3 linked regions of the Macaca fascicularis genome follow. The protein of the gene in region 1 interacts with the protein of each later gene in a biochemical or structural test. Links are inferred from orthologs where the notes say so. Each region holds a gene or a part of one and is shown in the gene's direction. Other genes may lie near its edges.

Evidence for each region.
Region 2: the proteins of DNAJC3 (region 1) and EIF2AK2 form a complex in vitro, tested with the Homo sapiens proteins (2 studies listed by BioGRID). The link is inferred for Macaca fascicularis from reciprocal best matches to the Homo sapiens genes DNAJC3 and EIF2AK2.
Region 3: the proteins of DNAJC3 (region 1) and THAP12 form a complex in vitro, tested with the Homo sapiens proteins (2 studies listed by BioGRID). The link is inferred for Macaca fascicularis from reciprocal best matches to the Homo sapiens genes DNAJC3 and THAP12.

The regions. Positions count from the first base shown.
Region 1 is NC_088391.1:86,691,183-86,699,050, forward strand, and holds part of DNAJC3 (dnaJ homolog subfamily C member 3), read left to right. Parts: intron 1-767; coding exon 768-949; intron 950-1,416; coding exon 1,417-1,536; intron 1,537-4,397; coding exon 4,398-4,503; intron 4,504-4,587; coding exon 4,588-4,708; intron 4,709-7,868. UniProt on the Homo sapiens protein: Involved in the unfolded protein response (UPR) during endoplasmic reticulum (ER) stress.
Region 2 is NC_088387.1:85,034,630-85,042,497, forward strand, and holds part of EIF2AK2 (interferon-induced, double-stranded RNA-activated protein kinase), read left to right. Parts: intron 1-4,988; coding exon 4,989-5,137; intron 5,138-6,927; coding exon 6,928-7,051; intron 7,052-7,737; coding exon 7,738-7,814; intron 7,815-7,868.
Region 3 is NC_088388.1:75,238,837-75,246,704, reverse strand, and holds part of THAP12 (52 kDa repressor of the inhibitor of the protein kinase), read left to right. Parts: intron 1-77; coding exon 78-198; intron 199-1,607; exon of another isoform or gene 1,608-1,702; intron 1,703-4,956; coding exon 4,957-5,064; intron 5,065-7,868. UniProt on the Homo sapiens protein: Upstream regulator of interferon-induced serine/threonine protein kinase R (PKR). May block the PKR-inhibitory function of DNAJC3, resulting in restoration of kinase activity and suppression of cell growth.

The DNA.
Region 1 (7,868 bases):
TACAGGCTTGAGCCACCGCGCCCGGCCGATAATTTCTTAAAACATTTTTTTGTTTAGAGACTTGGTCTCTCTCTCTGTTACCTAGAGTGGAGTGCAGTGGTACGATTATAGCTCACTGTAACCTCAACCTCCTGGGCTCAAGTGATCCTCCCACCTCAGCCTCCTGAGTAGCTGGGACCACCGGTGTGTTCCACTGCACCCAGTTAATAATTTTAAATTTTTTGTGGAGATGAGATCTTGCTATGCTGCCTAAGCTGGTCTGGAATTATAGGCATGAGCCACTGTGCCCAGCTAAGAATTTAATGTGGTTATTAGCAGAAAAAAGTAGTTTGCCAATTTAGAACCTAGATTTTATTTTTTGACTACAAATTAGAATTGTTGATTAAGTATAAAAATCTGATAACAGAATATTCTCTTCAAATATGCTTCACTAGGAACAACCCTCCAATAGTAAATGCTATGTTTTCTTATTTTCAGTGTCTTAGAATTATATAATCGAAGGAGGTAAGAAAAGGGCCTTGTTATTATATATATCCCTTCCCCCATTAGAATTCATTTACAACATTTTTGGAGAAACTATTTTGTCACATCAGTTTTGTCACATTTAAATTGTATCAGATTTTAAAATAATATTTGCAGTCTATAAGTCATCACATTAATTGAGAATGTTTTATGTTGATAAATACGTAGATAAAAAATACGTGGAATGCAACAATGAATGTGCATAATATTTTCTTCCTTAAAGTCTAGTTCTTTTGTTCCTCAAGGTTTGTGTTTGGGATGCAGAGCTACGGGAACTTCGAGCTGAATGTTTTATAAAAGAAGGAGAACCTAGGAAAGCTATAAGTGACTTAAAAGCTGCATCAAAGTTGAAGAATGATAATACTGAGGCGTTCTATAAAATAAGCACACTGTACTACCAGCTAGGAGACCACGAACTGTCCCTCAGGTCAGTCCTACTGACACACGTCTGATCTTCTTTAATTGTTGGCAGTAAGATAACCTCATCTTGTTTTAACATTTTAATATTAAATTAATAAGATGATGGTGGTTAAGGCTATTTTTATATTGTATATCCATTTATATGTTTTGTGTTATTCCCATGTTACTTTAATTCCACAGTTTGTTTTCATGAAGCTGCTTATTAAAATAAACAGGAAGGCTCTTATATTTCTAGAAACAAAATTGAATGTTTACTATATAATGCTAGTAAGTCATTTTAATTTGAATTAACAAATGTATGCATAGTACAATGCCATATATAAATGTGTATAGTAAATTATAAGTCTCAGTATGTTTTTGTTTAATTGTTGCAAACAAAAAATACTTTTACTGTGATTTCTGTATTTAGCGTGGAAAACTACTCATTGATTGTTTTGACATGGAGTATTTTCCTTTTTTTAAATACATGAACAGTGAAGTTCGGGAATGTCTTAAACTTGACCAGGACCATAAAAGGTGTTTTGCACACTATAAACAAGTAAAGAAACTTAATAAGCTGATTGAGTCAGCTGAAGAGCTCATCAGAGACGGCAGGTGAGAATACGGTTGTTCCAGCTGTCCAGCCATTCCTTATATGTTAGACTGTGGGCACAAGTGAATTACAGAACTGCTTTTACTTCTCAGCCATTGAGGGTGGGGTATTCTAGACAGCCCTGGGCCTTAGCAAAACTACCAGAACTGGACATTTTTGGAATAGGGAAGAATATAAACAATAGTAACTGTGTAGTATTCTTACCAGCAGACTTACTTGTATTATACCAAATATTTATTATCTCCTATATCAGGCACTGAGCTGTGTCCTGAGGGTGCAGAAACGAAGCTGATGGTAGTTTGTGTTCTTAACAAGTTTATAGCATTGCATGGGAGACACATATAGGAACAGATTATTAAAAGACAATATGATACCAAAGTGATAGAATGTACATAGGATAATTGGAGTACCGAAAAGGAGTATTTACTCCAAACCAGGATGGTGAAGGCAAGGAGTGAAAGAGAAGCTTTTTTTAGAGCAGACGATAGATATTTAAATCCTGATCCTAAAGAGAAAGTAAGAGTGGGCAGAAGTAAGAGGCTGTGTCGGTGTGAGTGTTATTTGTAGAGGGTTTGTAGGCTGGGCGGGAGGACTGAAAAGAGTACAGGGCACTGCAGACAAAACTGCCTAATAGAAAATAGGCTCTAATTCCTCTACTTTTAGTAGCTTTGTAAATTACCATCGTGAGAATGCTTTACCCAGTTTCCCCCAACATCTTGCAGACTATAACGCCTTGAAAAACCATAGTACCTTGTCACAATGAAGTTATTGATGTGGGTGCAGTCAAGATACAGAATAATTTCATCCCAACAAGGACCCCTCATGTTGCCCTTATAGCCACACCTACTTCCCTGTTGTTCCTATCCCTTCCTTAGCTAATCTAGTTACTTCTAGAATTTTGTCATTGTAAGAATGTTACATAAATAGAATCATACAATGTATAAACTTTTGGGATTGGCTTTTTTTTTTTTTTTTTTTTTTGAGACAATCTCACTATGTTGCACACCTGTTCACAGGTGCAGTCATAGGACATTGCAGCCTTGAACTGTTGGCCTTGAGTGATCCTTCTGCTTCAGCCTCCTGAGTAGCTGGGACTTCAGACACATGCTACCACAGCTGGCAGCATGGGCTTTTTCCCCCCTCATTCGAATTCTCTGGAGATTTATCCATATTGTATCAATAATTCCTCGTTTACTGTTGAATGGTTTCCATGGTGTGGATTTACTGCACTTTGTTTAACCATTTATCCATTGAAGGACCTGAGGTTGGGAGTTCGAGACCAGCCTGACCAACACAGAGAAACCCTGTCTCTACTGAAAATACAAAATTAGCTGGGCATGGTGGCACATGCCTGTAATCCCAGCTACTGCAGAGACTAAGGTGGGAGAATCACTTGAACCCAGGAAGCGGAGGTTGCGGTGAGCCGAGATTGCACCATTGCACTCCAGCCTGGGCAACGAGAGCGAAACTCCGTCTCAAAAAAAAAAAAAAAAGTTTTCTGTTTGCAAGTCTGCCCTTTTCAGGTCCTCTGGCTAGAGACAGCAGCCTTCTGCAGGTTTTTGTTACTGTCGTTCTGTACCTGTTGGCATTTCTGCATTGCTGGAATCTTCAGCTCCAAGTCTGGGATACATGAGATGAAAAAAGGAACCCAGGGAACTTCTTACCATGTTTTTCCTCAGGTCCTGAGTCACTAGCTAGTCTGTCTTCTCTCCTCCTTTGAAAGTTTTCTATTTTAAAAAATATACATTTAATTTCTAGGGTTTTTAGTTGTGCTTAGCTGGAGGAATTGGGAAAAATACATCTATTCCACTTTCCCAGAAGCTGGCTTTTTTGCTTTTTTCTTTTACTTTAAGTTCCAGGATGTATGTGCAGAACGTGGAGGTTTGTTACATAGGTAAACGTGTGCCAAGGTGGTTTGCTGCACCTATCAACCCATTACCTAGGTATTAAGCCCCGCATTCATTAGCTATTTGTCCTGATGCTCTCCCTCCCCTTGCTGCCTGCCCCACACAGGCCCCCGTGTGTGATGTTCCCTTCCCTGTGTCCATGTGTTCTCATTGTTCACCTCCCACTTATGAGTGAGAATATGCAGTGTTTGGTTTTCTGTTCCTGTGTTAGTTTGCTGAGGATGATAGAGAAGCTGGCTTTTATTTTAAATGTTTTAGTTAAGCCTGTGTTTTAATACATCAGCATATTTACATATGAAGATTGTAGCACATTGGGAGTAATGTGCCACCATGGCATAGAAACATATTTTTTAGTTTACTATTGTTGAGGAAAATAACTGAGTATCTATAACAGGATTAGTACTTTTTACTGGTTTGAAGAAAATGCTGAAATAGCTTTTATTCTTAGAAAGCTTATACAGTTGGGAATTTAATCAGGTACCTTCTGTATGAACTACATTGTACTTTGTTGTGAATACTGACATTAATTATATAAAATGGCACTTAATGGGTTCCGTTATTTTCATGGAAGTGTTTACTGACCAAGAAATAAAACTTGATCTCTGTATTGTTCAATGTGCTCAGTATAAGTCAGACTTCAACAGGGTATTTTACTCAGGTTCGGAATTCTGAGCTTGTTTCTGTAAGGAAATTCTTCTGGTTTGATTGGTACTTACAGGTATGCTTTGTTCTGTCCATCTGCATCTCCTATGGTCAGATGTTTTTATTTCTTAACTCTTAATTATGGAGTGTACCTTCTATGGGACTCAAGATTAATAAGGGAAAAGCCAAATCTGAAGCCGTGGCCTCATCCAGTTGGATTGATTAAGCAACACATGGTGAAGAGGGGAGGAGCCTTTCTACAGCTCTGGAAATCGAATGTCATTGTTTCTTATCATGATTTGCTCATTTCTTAGATACACAGATGCTACCAGCAAATATGAATCTGTCATGAAAACAGAGCCAAGCATTGCTGAGTATACAATTCGTTCAAAGGAGCGGATTTGCCATTGCTTTTCTAAGGTAACAGTTGACTTGTTCCCAGAAATGTGAAAACTCATCATGTGGAATACCAACCATAAATCCCTTTCTCACATTTCCTTTTAGGACGAGAAGCCTGTTGAAGCTATTAGGGTTTGTTCTGAAGTTTTACAGATGGAACCCGACAATGTGAATGCCCTGAAAGACCGAGCAGAGGCCTATTTGATAGAGGAAATGTATGATGAAGGTAAATCTTTAAGGAATTTGATTTGCAGTACCGAAGTGTTGATTAGGAAATTATCACATTTTAAGCTTCCTTTTCCTTAAAACAAGTTTACCGGAGTACCTGGAAATGGTGACGATTTAGAAAAATGGCAGAGAGCTTGAAAATTACTCTTCCATAGTGGAACCTGAAAGGTATACCATGGGAGGAAAGAGTTCTGCCATTGAAACCAGTTCAGTACAATAGAAAAATAAGTATTTTAGCTTTTTTTTGTAGAAAGTTAGGAAAAAAATAAAATAGAAAATTTAAATGTAGTTCTCATGTCATCCAGAGGTAATCACTGTTCATTTTGCATTTATCTTTTCCAGCTTATGTCTATGCACATACATTACTCTATATTTTATGCACATATACATATTCTCTCTCTCTATATATATATACACACACACACACTCGGTGTGTATGAAACATATATACAGAAAGCATACATATATGTCATATATCCCTAATATAAAATGATCCTCTGTGACCCCAAACTGTGTAGTAAAATAGGACAGTTGCTGCCCTGTTTTGTTCAAGCCGAATGAAGTAACAAGATTCCTGCTAGATGTTGTGAGGACCTTGGTTAAAAGCAGTGTCCTGTTTTTGGAAGAAAACTGTGGCGTATATAGTAATATATAGTTTTTGAAAAATAGAATCCATATATATATATGGAGATATATATATATATAGTTTTATACTTTTTTTCATGTGACACTAAGTTATGAACATTTAAATGAAACAGTTTTTAAAAAAATAGCGTTATAAGCCCTTATTGCAAATATTTTGTTTCAAATTCAGATAAAGCATTTTAAATCAAAAACTAATTTTCTCTTATAGTTAAATGAAGGGTTTGAATGGTAAAATTTGGTTTGTGATACTCTTTTTAAGGCAAAACTGGTCAATCTATTTTTCCCTGCTTTCCTCAATTAGAAAAGAATCTTGCTCCTAAGCAAGTTCCCGGTTTCCAGGGAATGATAACAACCTGGTCACTACTATTCCTGTGACATCTTGTGGGGGATTCAGACCTTGAGGTCTCTGAATGAGGCTTGAAATGAATGCAGTCAAAATGATGTTTTAATATTCATAAGCATGCTTCAATAAGGCAGGTAGTCCACATAGAAAATCCCTTTAGCACACTCGTTCTCTTTCCTTTTGAGCCACCGTGTCTACTCGCTGAGATGGTTTTACTCTAGGATTTTGCATTCCAGTTAGTTTTTGGAACTCTTTATCAAAGATACTTTTGTCATCTGTATGTAAACCCTTAGCTCTTACTGCGAAATTAGAGAAGCTACAGAAGAATATAAACAGCTTAGCTGTTAAAAAAAAAAAAAAAAGAAGGCTAAATCTTGTAGAATGCTAAATATAATTTGAAAGATGCTTTTGAAACTTGAATGTTAAACTGACTTGCTTTTTGGGGAAACCTGATGGCTTAATTCTGGAAGAAAAAGATGCTTAGTGCTAATTTGATATAATTGATCTGGTTTCTTTTTTTTTTTTTTTGGAAATGGAGTCTTGGTCTTTTACCCAGGCTGGAGTGCAATGGTGCAATCTTGGCTCACTGCAACCTCCGCCTCCTAATTGCAACCAGTTCTTCTGCCTTAGCCTCCCGAGTAGCTGGGATTACAGGTGTGCACCACCACGCCTGGCTAATTTTTGTACTTCCAGTAGTGATGGGGTTTCACCATATTGGCCAGGCTGTTCCCGAACTCCTGACCTCAAGTGATCTGCCTGCCTTGGCCTCCCAAAGTGCTCGGATCACTTGGCCCTGCCCAGTTGATCTGTCTTTGAAGCCTGTTGTTTCCTTGAAAAAATTCTTTTGTATAGGAATTTATTAAAGAGAGAGAGAGAATGGTTGCCAGCTCTCTAAATTTGCAAAAGAAAGAAAGGAAAAGAGCCTGTATAATTGAAACTGACAAGTATTACCTGACTCGTTTGGATTGGAATCAGGGGTTTAGTAAATGATGTAAATAAATAATAATCTTACTTAACTAAGCTAAATAACAGTATGTCTTCAGTTTACTTGAGTTAGAAATATGCTTTCCATATTCTTCTTCCTGGTTTTACCTTTTTTAAATAAGCAATTAAAAATGATGGCAGGTACATAATAAAGAATGAATAGGTTTAGGTTAGTGAATAATGGAACATGGACGTTTATTAATTTGGGGCTTAGAATTATCAGGAAACATATCGGGATATCACTCAATAGAAAGGAAGTAAAGTAAGACTGTTATTTGAGGATGCCTCTGAGATCTTGAAAAATCAAGGGAAATTCTTTATCTCTGCATGTCTCCGTTTTAATAGCTTTTGAGAGGAAGAAACTGACATTGAAGCAATACGAAAATATTGACAAATTCCTTTGAATATAGGGGTAACACAGGTGTCCTTAGGAAATGATCAGTTATATTTTGCTAGAACTTTAGCTGTGTGAGGGCAGAGACCTGTGGCTGTTATATTAACTGATGCATTCCTGGTGCTTATGCTGGCACTCATGTTTGCTGAATGAATGAAGGTAATTTATTTATTATACAATGAAGTCATAGTGGAGAGTAGGGAATTTAGAATTAGTCCTGCCTTTGAGTCTGGCTTTGTGCAGTTATTCTATTTTTTTTTTTTTTTTTTTTTTTTTTGAGATGGAGTCTCGCTCTGTAGCCCAGGTTGGAGTGCAGTACCGTGATCTCGGCTCACTGCAACTTCCGCCTTCCGGGTCCCAGTTCAAGCAATTCTCCTGCCTCAGCCTTCCGAGTAGCTGGGATTACAGGAACTGTGCCACCATGCCCAGATAATTTTTGTATTTTTAGTAGAGACAGGGTTTCACCATGTTGGCCAGGCTGGTCTTGAACTCCTGACCTCGTGATCCACCTGCCTCGGCCTGCCAAAGTGCTGGTATTACAGGCGTGAGCCACCGTGCCTGGCCAGTTATTCTATTTTTTGTTTTTAATTCTGGTAAAAGATACAATATAAAATTTACCATCTTAACCATTTTTACATGTATAATTTAGTAGAGTTAAATATGCTCACATTGCTGTGAAAAAGATCTTCAGAACTTTTTCATCTTTCTAATCTGATCTCTGTACCCATTAAACAGCCGCTCCTTTTTACCTCTCCCTTAACCCTTGGGAACCACCGTTCTGCTTTCTGTCAC
Region 2 (7,868 bases), on another chromosome or scaffold:
AAGAGTTTGGTTCAGTCATTCCCCCCATCTTCATTTCTATGAAACCCTGAGTGAGAGCTGCACACCCAGGACGCCGTGGGCAAAGCTGGAGAATAGTTATTCAGAGTGTCAGCAGCAGTTAAATACTCTAAAATTGAACAAATATGGAAAGATGAGAAGTGTTCAGTGGGAAATGAGCTGACAGGTTCTGGGATGAGTCCCCTCCATCTAATTGAGGAAGTGCAGTAAAAGAGGAAAAAGAGATGAAAGTGATTATAGGGAGAATGATGTACAGCGGTCACTCACTGTCTGTGGGGAATTGGTACCAGGACTCCCTGTGGATGCCAAAATCCACTGATGCTCAAGTCTTTTATATAAAATGGCATAGTATTTGCATATAACCTATTTGCATCTTCCCATATACAGTTATGCGTTGCTTAACAAGGAGAATACATTGTAAGAAATGCATTCTTAGGCAATTTTCTCATTGGGCAAACAACACAGAAGTACTTACACAATCCTAAATGGAGCAACCACTACGCACCTAGGCTATGTAGTATAGCCTATTACTCCTAGACTACACACCTGTACAGCATGTTATTATACTGAAAACTGTAGCCAATCGTAACACAATTTAGTATTCATGTATCTAAACATATCTAAATATAGAAAAAGTACAGTAAAAATACAGTATAAAAGACAAAAGGCTGGGCGCGGTGGCTCACACCTGTCATCCTAGCATTTTGGGAGGCTGAGGCAGGTGGATCACCTGAGGTCAGGAGTTGAAAACCAGCCTGGCCAACATGGTGAAACCCTATCTCTACTAAAAATACAAAAAATTAGCTGGGCGTGGTGGCGGGCACCTGTAATCCCAGCTACTTGGGAGGCTGAGGCAGGAGAATTGCTTGAACCCGGGAAACAGAGGTTGCAGCGAGCCTGAGGTCGTGCCATTGCACTCCAGCCTGGGGACCCTGTCTCAAAAAGAAAAAAAAAAAGACAAAAGTACACCCATATAGGGCACATACCATGCATAAATAGAGCTTGCAGGACTGGAAGTTGCTCTGAGTGAGTCAGTGAGTGGGTGGTGAGTGAATGTGAAGGCCTAGGGCATTATTGTATACCACTGTAGACTTTATAAACACTGTATACATAAGCTACATTCATTTTATTAAAAATTTTTTTCTTCAATAATAAATTAACCTTAGCTTACGGTAACTCTTTTACTTTATAAACTTCTTATTTTTAACATTTTGACTCTTTCCTAATAACACTTAGCTTAAAACACAAACGCAGCCAGGCGCAGTGGCTCATGCCTGTAATCCCAGCACTTTGGGAAGCCGAGGCGGGTAGATCACCTGAGGTCAGGAGTTTGAGACCAGCCTGGCCAACACGGTGAAACCCTGTCTCTACTAAAAATACAAAAATTAGCCAGGTGTAGTGGGGGTCGCCTGTAATCCCAGCTACTTGGGAGGCTGAAGCAGGAGAATTGCTTGAACTCAGGAGGCGGAGGTTGCAGTGAGCCGAGATCATGCCACTGCATTCCAGCCTGGGCAACAGGGCAAGACTCCATCTCAAAAAAACAAAACAAAACAAAAACGAAAACAAAAACACATAGTATGGCTGTACAAAAATATTTTGTTTTGTTACATCTTTATTCTATAAGCTTTTTTCTATTTTTAGAATTTTAAACTTCTTTTTTTTTTTAACTTTTAAACTTTGTTGTTAAAAAATTAAAACATGATTGGGCACAGTGTTTCATGCCTGGGATGTCGAGGAGCCATGATTATGCCACTGTACTCCAGCCTGGGTGACAGAATGAGACCCTGTCTCAAAAAAAAAAAAAAAAAATGCTGGGCATGGTGGTTCATGCCTGTAATCCCAGCACTTTGGTAGTCAAGGTAGGTGGATCACTTGAATTTGGGAGTTTGGGATTAGCCTAGGCAACATGGTGAAACCCTCTCTGTACTAAAAATACAAAACACTAGCCAGGCTTGGTGGCACGTGCCTGTAGTTCCAGCTACTCAGGAAGCCGAGGCAGGAGGATCATGTGCCTGACATGTCATGGCTGCAGTGAGCTGTGATCTTGTGACTACACTCCAGCCTGGGCAACAGAGCAAGACCCTGTCTCAAAAAAAAAGAAAGAAAAAAATTACAACACACACACACACACCAGCCTGCCTACACAGCATCAGGATCATCAGCGTCACTGTCTTCCACCTCCACATTTTGTCCCTCTGGAAAGTGTTCAGGAGCAAAAACATACATGGAGCTATTCTTTCCTATTGTAGCAATTCCTTCTTTTGGATTACCTACCGAAGGACCTGCCTGAGACTGTTTTACAGTTTACTTTTTTTTTTTTTTTAAGTAGAAAGAGTGCCTTCTAAAATAATGATTAAAAAGTATAATAAATATATAAACCAGTAACAGTTACTTATTATTATCCAGTATTATGTACTGTACATAATTGTATGTGCCAGACTTTTTTATAAGACTGTAGCACAGTAGATTTGTTTAGAGCAGTGTCACTGCAAACATGTGAGTAATGCATGGTGCTGTAACCCAGGAGTTTGAGATTGGCCTGGGCAATATGGCGAAACCCTGTCTGTACTAAAAATACAAAAAATTAGCCATTATAGTGGCTATGACCTCACTAGATGACAGTAATTTTTTAGCTCCATTATAATCTTACGGGACCACTGTCATATATGCAGTCCATTGTTGACCAAAATGTCATTATGCAGTACATGATTATCCTTTAGATCATCTCTAGATTACTTATAATATCTCTAATACAATGTAAATGCTATGTAAATAGTTTTTTGTTGTTGTTGTTTTTTGAGACAGGGTCTTACTATCACCCAGGCTGGAGTGCAGTGGCATGATCAAGGCTCACTGCAGCCTCAGTCTCCCCAGGCTCAGGTGATCCTCCCACCTCAGCATCCCAACTGACTCGGACTACAGGCACGAGCCACCACACCTGGCCAATTTTTGTATTTTTTGTAGAGATGGAATCTCACTATGTTGTCCAGGCTGGTCTTGAACTCCTGAGCTCAAGCGATCCGCCCACCTCAGCCTCCCAAAGTGCTAGGATCGCAGGTGTGAGCCACCACAGCCAGCTATAAGTAGTTGTTATGCTGTATTGTTTAGGGAATAATGACAAGGAAAAAAACTGAATATGTTTAGTACAGATGCAACCAGCAATTTTTTTCAAATATTTTTGATTGTGATTGGTGAATCCAGGGATTTGGAACCCGTGGATATAGAGAGCCAAGTGTTTACAGAGAGCAGATAATGGAGAACCAATATACATGTGACTGGTGTCCCTGAAAATAAGAACAGAGTAAATAGTACAGAAGAAAATGATCTGAAGAGATTTCAGCAGAAAATGTTTATGAAATAAAGACTTGGCTACAGATTAAAACAACTTAATAGATACAGGAAAATTTAGAAACACCCAGACCAACATTGATTCTTTTTTTCTCTTTTATTTTTTATTTTTGAGACAGAGTCTCGCTCTGTTGCCCAGGCTGGAGTGCAGTGGCACAATCTCTGCTCACTGCAACCTCCGCCTCCCGTGTTCAAGCAATTCTCTGCCTCAGCCTCCTGAGTAGCTGAGATTACAGGCCTCCACCACCATGGCCAGCTAATTTTCTGGTATTTTTAGTAGAGACAGGGTTTCACTATGTTGGCCATGCTGGTCTTGAACTCCTGACCTCGTGATCCACCTGCCTCGGCCTCCCAAAGTGCTGGGATTACAGGCATGAGCCACCGCGCCTGGCCCCAACACTGATTCTTATGAAAGTACTGCGCTCCAGAGATGAGGAAAGAATTCTACAAGCATCTAGAGAGAAGAAGAAAACTATGTGAAATGTAAATATTTTTAAAGTTTCATGCTGTGCACAGCAACATTATAAACCAGGAGATAGTGTAGCAATGCTTATAAAATGAGACATGAAGTCATTTACATTTTAGACAACAGAGGACTATTCTCAGATTTGGAAAATTTTGGGAAAATTTAGGTTTCAAGATTCTTTCTTGAAAAATCTACTTAAAGATATCCTTCTAACCAAATTAAAAAAAAAATCAAGCAAAATTACAAATTATAATTATTAATGAGGTAGAAAATTGAGTCAAGAAGTTAGAAAAAAATAGAATGTCTTACCCCCAAAAAGCAGAAGAAAGAAAATAACAATGGTTGAAATTACTATAAAAGAAATAAAAAAGAAAAAAAATAAAGATCAATAAAACCAAAAGCTAGTTTTTTGACAAGATTAATAAAATAGCAAAACTCAGCTGGGTGTGGTGGCTCACACCTCTAATCCTAGCATTTTGGAAGTCTGAGGCAGGCAGATAACTTGAGTTTAGGAGTTCGAGACCAGACTGGGCAACATGGCCAAACCCTGTCTCTACAAAAAATACAAAAAAAGTACCCAGATGTGGTGGTGTGTACTTGTAGTTCCAGGTACTTGTGAGACTGAGACAGGAAGATCGCTTGAAACCAGGAGGTCAAGGCTGCAGTGAGCTGAGGTTGCACCACTGCACTCTAGCCTAGGTAACAAAGTGATACCCTGACTCAAAAAAATTAAAAAAAAAAATAGCAAAACTTTGGACAAGATTTTTGTTGGACTAAGAAAAAAAGGTAGAGATAACAATAGTAGAAATCACGCTATTATATTCATCTTTTTCATTAAGTTGTGATCCAGTATCTCTTGCCTCATTTTTTGAGATTAGAAAGAATATAACAAGCTAGAACGTGTTATAGTACTTTCCAAAGACAAACAAGAAAAAGCAACTTCTTTCCTATTGTTAAAATCTATCTTTGTAGATTTTTTCTGGTAGAGGGAGATAGATAGTCACACTTTTACTCAAGGTAATATAATAGAAAAATATATAACATCCAACCTGTCTTTCACATTGCTCATTTAGTAATTTTATTAGAAGAATGATTTTTAAAAGGTTAAATCTTTGTTGTCATTTATATTAAACAAGAATTTTTTTTTTCTTTGTAGGCAGTTAGTCCTTTTTCATTGACAACAACCAGTTCTTCGGAAGGATTATCCATTGGGAATTACATAGGCGTTGTCAATAGAATTGCCCAGAAGAAAAGACTAACTGTAAATTATGAACAATGTACATCGGGGGTGCATGGGCCAGAAGGGTAAGACATAATTTGGCTTTTCTTTCTGTTTCATTGTATCTAAGCAATAAAGTTGGTTTATTTTCATGTCTAATTTTCCAGAAATATGTGTCCTTTTAAACATTCTATATGGCAGGTTTTATATGATTGATAGTAATTTGATTTCTAATTTGTAATTAAAATGTTTAATTGCTGAAGCCATGGAGCCCACTTACCGTAATTGATCAAATTAGGGTAATCCTTTATTTCAGAGGTGTAGCTGGATGGTTTAGTCTGTGGAACAAGAGGGTACAGGGTGCCACTGCTCAAAGAATGCAGAGATCTTTTCGTCATTGAGGACATGATGGTGGTAACTATCTGAAAACCTCTCTGCCACATGTATAGAATGACTCTTCACCCTTGTCAGATCAGGGAGCTCTTTGTTCAGGTATTTGTCCTTCAAATTGGATTAAATGAACAAATACCATGTATCAGAAGGAATGAGTTTTAGCCGTAGACTGAGAGGAGACCAGGATTTGAGGGATCTGATGAGACAGATAAGCTAGAGTTTCAAAGTTACTAAGAACGTCACCACTGAGCTAAGATGTTCCTGGAAATGAGGATAAAGAATGGATTGGAACTGAAAAAAGCAGAAATCAAAGGAGTATGAGGCGATTGTTTTTCAACTACAACCAACCAGTTAATGAGAAAGAAGAAAAAAAAATATCTACATGGCAAATAGTTCAAATCATCACTTTAGGATACTGTTCTATGAATTGACTCAGCTATTCACAGTCATGGCTTTTGGGCCAAAACCAGGAAGAAAAACATGTGATAGTATTCATTGGAATGAAATAGTCAAAAGTGAATCTGTTGAGTCAATCTTGATAATTAAGAGACTATTTTATTTTCTGTAGCTCACTTTTTTGATTTCTTTGAATTATGCTCTCTAACGTTAGATACCTAAAAGAAAGAAGAAATCTATTTGCGGGGGGACAGTGTCTGAAAAAAATAGGAGCTATAGAAATGATCCAGTTACTCAACCCAGCTATTTAATTCAGGGTCTAGCAGGGAAGACTCACCCTGTTTGGATGTGTTTCTATCAATGGCCTTCAATAGAAGCACAAAGGAAAAGGAGTTCAAATACTGGAATCATTTTGCAGTAATATGTAGTAACTCTGTGATATAAATTACCATGTCCATTGTTTTATCCCTTAAAAATAGTTCTTATATAATTGTCCAGGTATCCTGGCCTAACCACAAATGTCCTTACGTCTAATAGGAGAGTGTGGACTTTAGTATAGGGAATCTACACTGTGGGGATTTTCTCAAATTTTTGTGCACATAAGCAGATGGCAGACAATGTTGAAGTTAGAGCAGAATCCATGCTTTGCTCTTGCCCTACGCTGTAACTTCATAGCTTCTCCTGTCAAATCCACTTTCTCTGCTGGCTTTTTCCTTCCCATTTGAGCACTGCTGAAAAAATTCACTGGACCTCTTTCTTTTCTACCTCCATATCTTTTGACCTTTGGGGAATTAAAAAACAAAAAAAATCACCACTTAGTGCCTTTGTGCCATATCTTTCAGCAAAGCAACCAAAAATTAGAAATTGCCTGGAAAACGCAAGCTCAGATGTCAACTGATCCTGGTTATTCAGAGAAATTGGTCAGGCAGGTTACTGAGGGTTTAAATTATGCAAGATATGAACTATAAATCTATCTAATAAATTGGTATTATCTTAAGATCTCTGTTAATGTTTTTTTTTTTTAATCGTAAGTTGGATTTACTATATTTTTCATGTTTGGATAAGTACCCTCTATGATTTCTCCTAGATTTCATTATAAATGCAAAATTGGAGACAAAGAATATGGTATTGGTACAGGTTCTAGTAAACAGGAAGCAAAACAGTTGGCCGCTAAACTTGCATTGCTTGAGATATCAGAAGAAACCTCAGTGGTACGTATTGCCTTTGGATTAAATTTTTATGTTTTAAAATTCCCTCTGAAGTTGACTTCAGGTTAGACTGTGGTTACATTATGCCAAGACAGCCAGTGATTTAGCAAAATGATTCCTCCATTCTGTGTCGCACCAATGAGCCATGTGCCATGGGGCCGTGGCTGGGTGTGGTGGCTCACACCTGTAATCCCAGCACTGTGGGAGGCCAGCGCAGGTGGATCTCCTGAGCGCAGGAGTTTCAGACCAGCTTGGCTTGGGCGACATGGCAAAACCATGACTCTACAAAAAAAAAAAAAAAAAAAATTAGATGCGTGTGTGGCATGTACCTGTAGTTCTAGCTACTTGGGAGGCTGAGGTGGGAGGATTGCCTGAGCCTGGGAGGTGGAGGTTGCAGTGAGCTAAGATCGTGCCACTGCACTTCAACCTGGACAGCAGAGCCAGATCCTGTCTCAAAAGAAACAAACAAAAAAATTATCTGTCCTGTGATCCAGAAAAATGAAATAAAAAATAAAATAAAATAAAATCCAGACCAAACATCCATAAAAAACGTTATTGATCTTGTAATTGTTTATGGTTGTGGATTTGGTAAATGTGTTGAAATAAATGTGATAGTACACAGAAACTGAGCCTCTGTAGAGAAATAATTAGTTGCATTTAAGCCTACTAAGGGACTCTCTTTCTTTCAGAAACCTGACTCCATGTCCTCTGGTTCTTTTGCTGCTACGTGTGACTCCCAAAGCAACCCTTTAGTGAACAACTCACTGTAAGTGTAGACAAACAGTTGAGATATTTAACATATTCATATTTCTGTCTGAAA
Region 3 (7,868 bases), on another chromosome or scaffold:
ATGTTTGCCTTAAAACTGCAGGCTGAAATTTAAATGCTGAGCTCATTTTCATAATTGTGTTTTGGTTTTATTTATAGATGCCAGAAGTGGGTGGAGAACTGTAGGAGAGCAGACTTAGAAGATAAAACACCTGATCAGCTAAATAAACATTATCGATTATGTGCCAAACATTTTGAGACCTCTATGATCTGTAGAACTGTGAGTAATAGAAGAGCTTGGTGTCTCTCTGTTTGTCTTGATTTCTCTCTCTGTCACTCTGTCTGGTTGGAAATGTAAGTATTTGCCAATGTTGGAAAGTATTCCTATATCCTGCCACTTTAAGATGAAGACAGATTTGGAGCTGAATAGTATCTGTTTTGTTCTTAAAATCTGATTTTGCCAGTCACCTATAATCCCAGCACTTTGGGAGGCCGAGGCAGGAAGACCACTTGAGCTCAAGAGTTTTGAGACCAGCCTGGGCAACATGGCCAGACGCCATATCTACAGAAAATACCAAAAAAACTAGCCAGGTGTGGTGACGTATGCCTGTAGTCCCAGCTACTTGGGAAGCTGAGATGGGAGGATCACTTGAGCTTAGGAAGTCAGGGCTGCAGTGAGTTGTGTTCATGCCACTCCACTCCACTCTGGGTAACAGAATGAGAGCTTGTCTGGAAAAAAACCCAAAATGATGAAAAAAGAAAAAAAGAAAGAAAGAAAAACTCCTCTGTGTCTGATGCCCCGTTTCTATTCACCCGAGGTAACTACTTTTTTTTTTTAAAGACAGTCTCGCTTTGTCACCCAGGCTGGAGTGCAGTGGTGCTCTCTCAGCTCACTGCAACCTCTGCCACCTCCCCCACCTCCTGGGCTCAAGCGATTTTCTCTCCTCAGCCTCTCAAGTAGCTGGGATTACAGGCACGTGCCACCACACCCAGCTAATTTTTGTATTTTTAGTAGAGATGGGGTTTCACCATGTTGGCCAGGCTAGTCTCAAACTCCTGACCTCAAGTGACCCGCCCACCTCGGCCTCCCAAAGTGCTGGGATTACATGTATGAGCCACCACACCCGGCTGAGGTAACCACTTTTAAATATTATTTAGTTTTCAGAAAAATTTTAGATGATTATAAAAGTATATATTTAAGGTAAAGTTGGTGTTTTTATTTCGAGCTGTTTAGAGCTTTTTTATGAGTAAAATTTTCATCTTGGAATGGAGCTCTTGTTTTCATGTTTTTGTATGTACTATTAGAACCAACTCTTAATTTTTATGTGCTAGATGTAATAGTAAACAAATTATCCAGGTAATGTGGAAAAACATTTCCATCAATAGTATGTAATTTCATATCAAGACCAGTTAATTGTGTGAGCTTGGCCAAGTCACTTCCCCTCTCTGGGCCCCAGTTCCTAATAAGGAGATTAGACCAGGTAATTCCTGAGTTCTAAGATTTTTAACCCTCTGTGATTCTCTTGCTGTGATTTATGAAAGGCACAAATAAGGCAAATTTGATTGAAATGAAGCAGAATTGTTTCAGTGTAACTAATGTAACACCTCAGATATTGGGATAGACATAAACTTGATTCGAAGGTACACTATATGTTGTTATGCAGCAATTTATTTTGATATTTTTTTCAGATACATTTTGCAGAGGCATCAGAAAACTAAAGAATGATTGGGTTATTTTATTTCTCAAAATTAATTGAAGCAGATACTTGTGAAGTCATTGGGAGGTGAGCCAGTTCCGGTTCAACAGTTTAATCACAAATATTTGAGGAATATTTTTGCCTTAATTTGTTAAGAGGGTAATAATGATCAACCGAAATAAAAGGTTTCATATGTTTAAAAGGCAAACTACTTTTATGTTCTTGACATTAAGTAAAAATATCCCAAATTATTTTAAATACATTTGCCATATGCATTTTTGCATTTTTATTTTAGTAATAAATATGGTCTCTTAATTAGATAATTCTAACCAGATTGTGAGAAATTTAAAGCATAGTTCATTCTTACATTCTTTAGAGAATAGAACAGAAAGATGAGCCAGGTTTGCTTTTTTAATTTCTAAATGATTCTTCAATCCTGAATAAATGAATCCGAATGTGAGAAAATGTTCTTTCTATACATCTAGGAGATGTTATTAAAAACTGGATTTCTGGGCTGGGTATGGTAGCTCACGCCTGTAATCCCAGCACTTTGGGAGGCTGAGGTGGGCGGATCATTTGCGGTCAGGAGTTCGAGACCAGCCTGGCCAACAGGGGGAAACCCCTTCTCTACTAAAAATACAAAAAAAAAAAGAAAAATTTGCTGGGCATGGTGGTGCACGCCTGTAATCACAGCTGCTCAGGAGGCTGAAATAGAAGAATCGCTTGAACCCAGGAGGCTGAGGTTGCAGTGAGCCAAGATTGTGCCACCGTATTTCAGTCTTGGTGACAGAGTGAGACTGTGTTTCAAAAACGAACAAGCAAACAAAAACCCCTGGATTTTCTGATATCCATATCTAAATGTTTAAGAGTTTTGGCTTTATTAGTTTGACATTGAAGATCTCATCAGTGGCAAGGCACAGTGGCACGTGTCTGTAGTCCCAGCTACTTAGGAGTCTAAGGCTGAAGGATTGCTTGAGCCTAGGAGTTCAGAGCCAGCCTGGGCAACATGATGATGAGACCCTGTCTTTAAACAAACAGACAAAAAAAAAAAAATCTCATCAGTAAACATTCATGACTACTGAATTTGGCCTGAGCCAAATATTTTATTATTTTGATGCTAGAGTAAGATTATTGTTTCATGCTCAAACCTTAATTCAGCAGTTAAAAATTAAATCTTGATACTGCGATACTTGATATCATAAGCAGTAATTGAATATTGTCTTCTTTGGCATGTGTCCTTGTAAATATTTATATTTTTCTTATTTTTATTATTATTTTTTGAGACAGGGTCTCGCTCTGTTGCCTAAGCTGGGGTGCAGTGGTGCAATCATGGCTCACTACAGCCTCGACCTCCCAGGCTCAAGCAATCCTTCCCGTTCAGCCTCCCAAGCAGCTGGGACTACAGGCATGTGCCACCATACCTGGCTAATTTTTGTATTTTTTGTAGAGATGGAGTTTTGCCATGTTACCTAAGCTGGTCTTGAACTCCTGGGGTCAAGCTGTCTACCAGGCCATGGCTTCCCAAAGTGTTGGAATTACAGGTGTGAGCCAACATTCTTGGCCAAAATAAATATTTATAAAATGTCATTTTTTTCTTTCACATATTCTGTTTTCCGATCTATAATGTCATTGCTTTATTTGCAAATAGAAAATCATTTGATTTGACTTAAAAATTTGTTAAAATGTTTTTTTCCTCCCCTCCTTATTTAATAATTGGTAAGATATCGAAAGTTGATTGTGTATTTGTATTTGCTTATTTTGGGGACATTTGCTCAGTGTGAAAGATGGGGGAGCTTTGAGTATAATAACTTGTACCCCCTTCAGTGATTGTGTCCCTAACCAATTCCTCATTCAGCCTCCCTGGTAGATTCAGGATCACGAGCCCAGAACTAGAAGTTGAGGGTTACTAGGAAGTCAGAGAATCATCTTTGTGCTTTCTGTTATGGCATGGAATTGAACTAGAAAATATTGACTCTGAATAGAAATTCATCCCAAATGTGTTTAACAACTCTTTGGGTACAACCCAAGATAGTGTGTTCCATTTAGATACATGTTTTCCCTTCATGTCTTCCTGACCTCCCTCCTTTGGGTGAACAAATTTAGAAGTTGTTATTTTTGTTTGGCATGTTCTTTGAACATGCTTAGATATTTTGAAATAATCACTGCTTCCAAGAAAGCTTGTTTAAATGAAGTATGTTTTATCTTTATCATTGCAAATTGAGGAAGAAATTAAAGGCACTATTTCTTTGGACTGTCTGAGAGGAGTGTAATAGCAGTTATTTATTACTCTCCCTCTTAATAAGCTTCTTGTCTCTTACCCAGCCTCCTCAGGGCTGGCAGTAGGGCTGTTACCATCTAAGTATATATCCAGCTTCTAGCCAAGTTGGATGAAATTAACAGGAAGTAGGGTAAAGTATGATCATTCTTTCATAAGATCATTAGGACTTGAAAGAAATATAGAAATACCTAGATTATCATTTGCAAAAATGTGATTATGTATATCAGTATCACTTGTGGTGTGAGAGTTGGTTTCATGTGGCACATGAATCAATTTTTATTTTAGAAGTTTTGTAGTATGTGTTAAAAACATAAAATTTTTAAAAACGTAAGATAAAAACATCAGATCATTCTGCCTACAGTTTTTATTACTTAAGACAGTGTGAGTAGATTGTGTAAAAATACAGATGGTAATATAACTGAAATGGCAAGCATTATGATCGTTAAGTATGTGAATAATTTCATTTTGGGAAATGTTGAAATAGTTCCATACCAGAATTTTATTCAGAAAAAGAAACTGGGGCCCAAAAAGGGAAAGTAATTTAGCCAAGGTGTCTTAGTGAGTCATTCACTGGTAGAGTTTGGACTAGTTCCTAGGTCTCCTGGGTCCCAGTCCAATATTTTCACTGTACCTTGATACTTCTCAGTAATATTAGCAAAAGTGGAACATTAGGTAAAATAGGGATGCATTATTATGGAACATACAAGAGTGCAGATTATTTTGGGAGACTTGTACCTCCTGTAGATTGTGGGCTCTTGGAAGGACAGGAAGATAAAGTAGCTGGGATGCTGAATTAGAAACAGATACGCAAAATGCAAGCACATTTTATGTTTTATGCCTACCTTCAATTCAGTTTCTTAATTTATAATAAGATTGCCAGAAGGGCAAATGCAGGTACAGTTGGAAATAGTAGACTGACCTGAACTGACATCAAGTTCTATAAGCCTCTATACTTTAGAGCTGGAGTTGAAGGAATATTGTGGAGGTCATTAACATAGAATTTTATTGATATGTAATATATTTATAAGGATCATATCTGAATTAACACATTTTTCTTTTTCAGAGTCCTTATAGGACAGTTCTTCGAGATAATGCAATACCAACAATATTTGATCTTACCAGTCATTTGAACAACCCACATAGTAGACACAGAAAACGAATAAAAGAACTGGTATGTCTGTGTACTTTCAGCTTTCCCACCTTCCCCCATAATACTATGAAATCAAATATGGATGCATTTATGTTAAATTAATCCAAGTTACTCTCTATTTCAGAAGTAATGTAATGGGAAATAAATGTTATGGTAAATAGTAGCCTGGATGTGAGATGATGAGTTTTAGTATTTAAATTGGAAAATCTCCCTCAAATTTAGCCAGTTGATACTGTTGAGTTGGTCCAGAGTGTGCTATTAATTATAGGCCACTAGCTCATTCCCTTCTGGGGAAGAAGGAGAAAGCTACCTTTTCTTTTGTAGTAAGGAAAATAGAGCTGAGGTGTTTCCAGAGTTCAGCACAAAGGAATAAAGAAAGGGAAAGTGTAAAAGTGGAGACATGGAATGTTTTAAAGATAAGGCTTCTGTCACTATTAAATATGGACAGAGTTTAGAAAAAAAACATCGAAATCTCTGTTTATGGCATAATTTACACAATTCTTATATTCCTTAGATATCCTTCAGTTCTGAGGATTGACACCTATCTGTATTTTGTTGACCTTAGGTGAACGGAAGTATAGTAACTCCTTAGTCCATGGCTTTCTGTCATCATTGCCACTAGCAAGGCCCTTATTTTGCTTTATTATTTTTCCTTCTTCACCCACTATTACCATTACCATTCCTTCCCCTGCCAGTTGGTGTCCATGCTAGTGTATTTAATGTATGTCCTATCAGTTCACCTACTGTGTGCTTTTTAAAGATAGCATTTATCTAATTTTCCTTATTCTATGCTTACCATATTTAGATATTTTATCCATTTGGAGTTTGTATGACATACAGTAGGGATCTATAATAACTTTTTCTCCTTGTAGAGAAACTGTTTTCCCAACATGGTCTGTTAATCCTTCCTTTCCTCTACTGGTGTAAAATGCCACCTCTGTTATATAACAAGTTTACATAAGGCTGTTTTGGGGAGTTCTGTTCCATTTCACTGTATTATTTGTTTGCAGCTATGCCGCACTGTTTCATTACCATGGCTTTGTAATACATCTAACTTTCTTTTTTTTTTTTTTTTTTTTTTTTTTTTTTTGAGACGGAGTCTTGCTCTGCCGCCCAGGCTGGAGTGCAGTGGCCGGATCTCAGCTCACTGCAAGCTCCGCCTCCCGGGTTCACGCCATTCTCCTGCCTCAGCCTCCCGAGCAGCTGGGACTACAGGCGCCGCCACCTCGCCCGGCTAGTTTTTTTGTATTTTTTAGTAGAGACGGGGTTTCACCGTGTCAGCCAGGATGGTCTCGATCTCCTGACCTCGTGATCCGCCCGCCTCGGCCTCCCAAAGTGCTGGGATTACAGGCTTGAGCCACCGCGCCCGGCCTAACTTTCAAATAAGGTGATTGTTTAACTCTTCTTTTTCTTAACTATTTGTGGACCTTTATTCCTCCATATGAATTTTTTTTTTTTCCCTAGACAGGGTCTCACTCTGTCACCCAGGCTGGAGTGCAGTGGCATAATCTTGGCTAACTGCAACCTCCACCTGCCGGTTTCCAGCAATTCTTCCTGCCTCAGCCTCCAGAGTAGCTGAGACTACAGGCCCTCACCACTATGCCTGACTAATTTTGTGTTTTTGGTGGAGACACGGTTTTACCATGTCAGCCAGGCTGGTCTCGAACTCCTGACCTCAAGTGATCTGCCCGCCTCGGTCTCCCAAAGTGCTGGGATTATAGACACGAGCCACTGTGCCTGGGCTTTTGAATTTGAAAGTCCTTTTGTCAAGTTCTCCTAGAAATGATTTTGGGATTTTCATTATAATTGCTTTGAATTGACATCTTTACAATATTAGCAATTATAAATTTATTACTAGTTTAGTATTACTAATGTTAGTAAATGAATATTACTAGTTTACTATTACAGTATAAACTATTGTAAAGTATTAACTAGTTCCATCCATGAATAGAAAAAAAATCCCATAAAATACCTATCAAGTAACAGCAATCATTGACAAAACTAAATACTAGTTTTTTGAAAAGAATATTAGAATACTTTTAGGAGTACAGAAAATGAAAAATTTTGAGGGCTTTCGTTACAGTTCTTTAAATGACAATGTATACATGCTTCCTTAGATCACTTCTTAAATACATTACGGTTCTTACTGGTATAGGTGATATATTCTGGTTGAAATTGTTTCCAGCACTTTTGAAGAACTTCTTTTTAAATTAATCCTAATAAGTCTTCTGAGTTTTTCCTCTGTTACTGATTGTATCATCTGTAAATAAGGAGAAATTTGTCACTTTCAGTTCTTACTATTTTAATTTTTTCTGTTGCCTGCCTTGTTTAGTCAAGATCCCTGGTACTATGTTGAACAATTCTAGTAATGTCATACTTGCCTTGCCCCATTAAGTATAATGTTTGCTCTTGGTATTGTTAGATAGTTTTTATCAAGTTAAGAAAATTCCCTTCTACTCCCATATTCAGAGTTTTCTTGTTTGTTTTTTGTTTGTTTTCTTAAGACAGGGTCTCACTCTGTCACCCAGGCCAGAGTGCAGTGGGGCAGACACTGTTCATTGCAGCCTCTGCCTTCTGGGCTGAAGCAGTCCTCTTACCTCAGCCTCCCAAATAGCTGGGACCATAGGTGTGTGCCATCATGCCTGGCTTATTTTTTTGTATTTTTTATTTTTTATAGATGCGATCATGCCATGTTGCCCACTTTGGTCTCAAACTCCTGGGCTCAAGCAGTCCTCCTACCGCAGCCTCCCAAAATGCTGCCATTACGGTAGTGAGCCACCACACCTGACCTATATTCCGTTTTTGTATTTGACTTGTCACATGCT